Kluyveromyces lactis: one gene and its partner. The protein of the gene in region 2 purifies or fractionates together with the protein of the main gene of each other region. This does not show direct contact. Links are inferred from orthologs where the notes say so. Each region holds a gene or a part of one and is shown on either strand. Other genes may lie near its edges.

Region 1 (2,590 bases), on a different chromosome or scaffold from region 2:
TTTATTCAAGATGGCCGTTTCTAAGAGAATCTAAACTTTTGTCGTTGATTACAGAGGAAACTGTGTATGAAGGAGTTAAGTCAGGCAAATTAACAAAGGTCATTGAAAGAAAGCCTCAGGATTTTGAAAGGAAAGAATTTAGAGAGTTGAAGATGACTCTCAAATCGAATTATCAAAGGACAAAGGCCATTCTTTTGGATGACATTTCTGCTTTGGCTAAAGTGGTTCCAGTAAATGGATTGGTGAGAAACTCTGATGGTTCCTATTCTAAGTCTTTCAATGAAACTATCGAATACTATCCTTTACAATTAATCGTAGAGGACGTAAAAAATAAGGACGAAAGATATATTGAAAAAGAGCCGTTACCAATTAATAAAGAATTTCCAAAAGGTTCAAAAGTTGTGTTTTTAGGTGATTATGCGTATGGTGGGGAGGCGACCGTTGATGGTTATAATAGTGAGACTAGATTAAAACTTACAGTCAAAAAGGGTTCTCTCAGAGCAGAGCCTAACATCGGAAAAGTTAGAGCGAAATTGGATTCTCAAGCCTTGAGATTCTACCCAACACAAGTGTTTTCAAAAATAGCTCGTGTCCACCCTCTCTTCTTGTCAAAAATTACTTCAAGATATTTGGTCAATGATTCTAAAAAGAAAAGCCATAACGTCGGTTTGATGATCAAATTCAAAGCAAGAAATCAAAAAGTTCTCGGTTATGCCAGATGCAGCTCAAACAAATGGGAATACTCTGACGTCGCTCTTGGTTTGTTAGAGCAGTTCAGATCTACATTCCCTGAGTTCTTTGCGAAACTTTCTAACTCGAAGGAACAAGCAATTCCATCGATCACTGATCTCTTCCCTAACAAATCTAGCGCGGAAGCTGATTCCATTTTGAAAACAGTGGCTGATTGGCTCTCAGAAGCAAGAAAACCATTCGTGGTGGTGTCTTTGGAAAGTGATTCGCTAACCAAGGCTTCGATGGCAGCTGTTGAATCTGAAATCATAAAATACGTTTCTTTACCAGATTCAAGCGAGCAGAAGAAATTAGCTAAGGTCCCACGTGAGGCAATCTTAAATGCGGAATCGTCATATGTTCTATTGCGCTCCCAAAGGTTCCACTTAGGTGATAGGGTAATGTACATTCAAGATTCAGGCAAGGTTCCACTTCACAGCAAAGGTACTGTCGTTGGCTACACTTCAATTGGCAAGAACGTCTCAATCCAAGTTCTATTTGACAATGAAATAATTGCAGGAAACAACTTTGGTGGTAGGTTGCAGACCAGACGTGGTTTGGGATTGGACTCTTCCTTCTTATTAAACTTGTCTGATAGACAATTGGTATATCATTCAAAGGCATCGAAGAGTGCTGATAAGAAACCAAAAGCAGTTCCTAATGATAAGCAAGTCGCCCTCGCAAAAAAGAAGAGAGTGGAGGAACTCAAAAAAAAGCAAGCCCATGAGTTGTTAAATCATATCAAGAAGGATAACGCGGAATCAAATACCGAATCTGGATCCGCTCCGCAAATAGCAGTTAACACTTTAAATCCTTCGGCTGCTAACAACGTGTTCAATGCCGTCTTGAACCAAATCAAACCAGGTTCTCAACAGCAAATTCAACCACCTCCAGCAAATTCTCTGCCTTACAATTTCACTGTTCCCCCACATATGGTTCCTGGTGGTATTCCTCATCCTCTTATGATGCAGCCGCCTTTCATTCCGAATAATGAGCATATTGCTTATGCAGCTCCTCCTCAGTCACAACCTGTACAAAATCCACCATTAGATAAAGAGGCATCCAGGAATCTTAAGAATCTCCTAATTAGAGATGAGAATGGACGTACAGCAAATGTGGAGAATAAAGACTCAGATGATACAAAGAGATCTTCTCATTCTCGTGGCGGTCGTCGTGGCCGTAGTAATCGTGGTCGTGGTGCCTCCGGGAGGGGTGGTCATTTCAAAAATTCTCCTAAAAAAACTGAAACCTGAATGTTGGTTTGAATGGACTATTAACAGTAAATATTATATCACTTCAGTAAATAATGCTTAGTATATAAGAATAGAGACACTTTCAGGTTCAACTTTTCAAAATTCCCGGTTTGTTGTTTGTTCCTTTATTTTTTGATCAGCGATATCGTGACTCTTAGCAAACCACTTAGTTTCAAACCCATTTGATCTATCAACTCCATCCCATCTATAACCGGGAACGATACCGAACCGATTTTCTGGAAAGTTTTTCTCGTAAAGCCTTCGACCCAACAGTGACGTATTCGTTCCTCGCAGGGTGTTTCCTTGATTCAATGGATCTTCGGTTGATAATAATGCACTTTTCTCAGTTTTGCGATCAAGTTTTGATATTTGTACTTCGCCTATATTTCGTATTTTAAGTTCTTCTTCCTTACGTACTTTCGCTGTCAAATTAGCCTTTTCTCGAAGTTTCAATTCTTCTTCGTATCCATCTATTACCTTACCTTTTTCGTCTCTATATACTGTGTTCTGATTCTTCTTGAGAAGCCCTGATTTTTGCATAGAAAGTTTTTCCTTTTCTGCGATCTGCTTTTCCATCTCTTCTGCTGTCTGTAACCCAGCAAAGGCGC
Region 2 (3,114 bases):
TTTTCCTCCATTCAGTTATTCTGTGATAAATGCAATAAACCTTTAGTTAACGAATCTTCCAAGGAGAAAATAATCAAAGAAAGACTTGAAGGAAATTCAAGTGCTATGTCCAGGTTTGGATACTGGTACTGCGATTCATGTTCTAAGCGCAATACTCTCTGTTGCTTCTGCAATAAACCAATGAAGAGCTTGGCTATTTCTATGCTTAACTGTGGGCATGAGGGTCACTTCGAGTGTTTGAAAAAATGGTTTTTTGACGAAAACATGGATGTATGCCCATTGGGATGCCCAGCAATCTTATTCTGAAGTCAATTTCCTGTTAATTCGGATCTTTTCTATATCAAGTTATGTTTTTGTAAGAACTCTTTAACGACAACCCAATACCCATCTTGTATTATCGTGTCGTTATGGGAACCGATAGGGAACTCAATAAATCTTTTGCAGCTCGAGGGACATAGTTTATACAATAATTTCATATGAGGGGGTGGGACAATCTCATCTCTTAAACCAGCAAGAAACAAGAAAGGTAAAGTATCATCTTGTATGTTGACAATTTCCTGTTCAGAATCCCAGACTTCATGACACATGAATGCCACATTCTTCAGCATTGGGAAAACGTATGGGATAACTTTGCGAATGGACAGGAAAGTATTTTCTAGGATAATGGCATCGCAGATATCGGTAAATTTTCTAGCAAGATAAATGGCATTAGCGCCACCAAGGGACCTCCCATAAAGTATTAGCTTCCTTGATTTATGAAATTCACTGTTTGTCAAATGGTCCATGACGGTATCTGCGTCTATCTTCAATCCTCTCTCCGATGGGAACCCTGTTGATAACCCATATCCACGATAGGAATACAAAAAAATGGACAAATTAAACTCATTATAGAGAAACCTAGCAACGGGCAGGAAATATCCTATATTCCCCGCATTGGGGCAAAGAACAAGCATGGTTGCAGTCGAATTTTCATTCCTTATATCAAATGCTTTCAATAGAACACCATCCGAAGTCGTTAAAGTGAGATCTTCATAAGGCAAACCGTATTGATCTGGCGTATCTACATGGTCTCTAGCACCTTGTGCCCAAGATGGGTATATAAGCTTGTTTTGGTACAAATATAGAGCGCCCAGTGAAGCAGAAACAATGACAGCTGCGCTTCCGAGTACCATTTTCCCAATTTTGTATAAATGCATACTAGAAGGAAAATGTCGCTTTGGCAAAAAGAAATATGTTACGACAAACTATCACCTTGATCAATAAACTTTCTATTCGATGGATATAGTGACAGCAGCTACGTTAATGAGGTGCTTGTCATAATTAAACTCCCTTTAATTTACATAATACCGATATCCTGCTAAAACAAGCCAGCTACGGTTTGTATTTCAATTCGCATGCTTCGAGAGCATGAAAAACTCCAGAAAACTCAATATTACCCGTCCTTTGAATATAATCACGTGTATTGACAACTGATTCATGTTTTACCCGGACAAGTCGTAACGTCATTACCCTCTCTTAGAAGAAAGAAAAAAAAAAATTTGTAGCAGTGACAGCATAGTACAGGCAGCAGCTGCGAAGGTTTTCAATTTTGTTAACTATGGGAAGTTGGCAAATGGAAGAAAAAATGAAGTTGGATTAACGAATGTGATATCAAAGATTGGATTGACTCTCTGCGCATGTTTAAGATTTTTCGAGTGTTTTTTACTCGTAAATGTATCTGTATAAGACCAGAGGTTACCTGATCAATTTTGAACCTGAAAGACATCGATCTTACGACCAAAGAAGAATATCATGTCCGTTGAAGAAGTTACTCAAAAGACCCAGGATTTAACTGTGGACGAAGCCAAGCCAGCTACTGTTTTATCTGATCCTAAGGAATTTCAATTGAAGCATCCTTTGAGTAGCAAATGGACTTTATGGTATACTAAGCCCCCTGTGGATAGTTCAGAATCGTGGTCTGATTTATTGCGTCCAGTGACCAGTTTGGATACTGTCGAAGAGTTCTGGGCTATTCAAAATGGTATTCCAAAGCCATTCGATTTGCCAATCAAATCTGATTACCATTTGTTCAGAAACGATATCAGACCTGAATGGGAAGATGAAGCCAACTCTGAAGGTGGTAAGTTGTCGTACCAATTCAAGAACAAAAGACATAACATCGATGATTTGTGGTTGAGAACTCTATTGGCCGTTATTGGTGAAACCATCGACGAAGAAGAATCAGAAATCAACGGTTGCGTCTTGAATGTCAGAAAGGCTGTTTTCAAGATTGCTTTGTGGACTAGAACTACCAACTTGAACGCTTTGACTAACATTGCTACCAAGTTTAAGCAAGTTCTACAACTTGGTGAAGGTGAAAAGTTGGAGTTCTACAATCACAGAACTTCTAACTCAGGTCACGCTCCTCCAACCGCTCTATTGTAAATTAGCACATCCCTCCTCATTTCAACACTCAATAAATTAAATCAACATTTACCAAACACTGTCGATGCAAGGGATTATGAGTATAGTTAGAAATCTGTTTTGGACAGGCCTCATCTGATCGCTGTGAATCATCTCAATTTACCTTGACCACATACCCAAAGGGAAAAAAAGCGTATAAAGGGAATCTTTATGGTGCATCACAATCTCGGTTTGTGACAGCACACTTTTGGTATTTTAAAATGGTTGGATTTCACTCTTTCGACATCCATTTCGTGTCCTGCTAATCATAATTCCTTCGACTATTATTCGTAAACTCTTTTTTAAATGATATGTATAAATAATTAACGTGTCTGTTTATTCTTTATTTAAAGTCCTCTCCTGTGTAATTATCAGTGGATTAGTATCTCCACATTTCATTCTGTCAGTTTAGTTTATGAATCTAACGAAAAGAGATATATCCCAGAAATCATCATCTATTATTTCTTGCAAATAGAACCCGAAAATGACAACCAGGTATAATAATATTAAAATGCTTCCTTTGAAATAATTCGATTTCCCCTCTGCATATAAGTAAGTGAATAGAAACACTGACACTACTGATGCAAGTAAATCCCATCTGGGAAACACCATCGGGAACATTCTATCTCTAATGCTAATTTGAGTCAAATCTTTACCCCAAACGTATAGCAT

The links. Proteins that work in one complex are often made in the same cells at the same time.
Region 1: the proteins of CDC33 (region 2) and XRN1 purify together in Saccharomyces cerevisiae (affinity purification with mass spectrometry; 3 studies listed by BioGRID, with this or other methods). This does not show direct contact. The link is inferred for Kluyveromyces lactis from reciprocal best matches to the Saccharomyces cerevisiae genes CDC33 and XRN1.

Annotation. Positions count from the first base shown.
Region 1 is NC_006042.1:2,093,615-2,096,204, forward strand, and holds the end of XRN1 (chromatin-binding exonuclease XRN1), read left to right. Parts: coding exon 1-1,982; downstream 1,983-2,590. Other genes in the region: BUD13 (Bud13p), read right to left, coding at 2,079-2,590. UniProt on the Saccharomyces cerevisiae protein: Multifunctional protein that exhibits several independent functions at different levels of the cellular processes. 5'-3' exonuclease component of the nonsense-mediated mRNA decay (NMD) which is a highly conserved mRNA degradation pathway, an RNA surveillance system whose role is to identify and rid cells of mRNA with premature termination codons and thus prevents accumulation of potentially harmful truncated proteins.
Region 2 is NC_006041.1:1,875,887-1,879,000, forward strand, and holds CDC33 (translation initiation factor eIF4E), read left to right. Parts: upstream 1-1,791; coding exon 1,792-2,424; downstream 2,425-3,114. Other genes in the region: RTC1 (Rtc1p), read left to right, coding at 1-306; KLLA0_E20989g (uncharacterized protein), read right to left, coding at 336-1,196; VNX1 (calcium/hydrogen antiporter), read right to left, coding at 2,851-3,114. UniProt on the Saccharomyces cerevisiae protein: Recognizes and binds the 7-methylguanosine (m7G)-containing mRNA cap during an early step in the initiation of protein synthesis and facilitates ribosome binding by inducing the unwinding of the mRNAs secondary structures.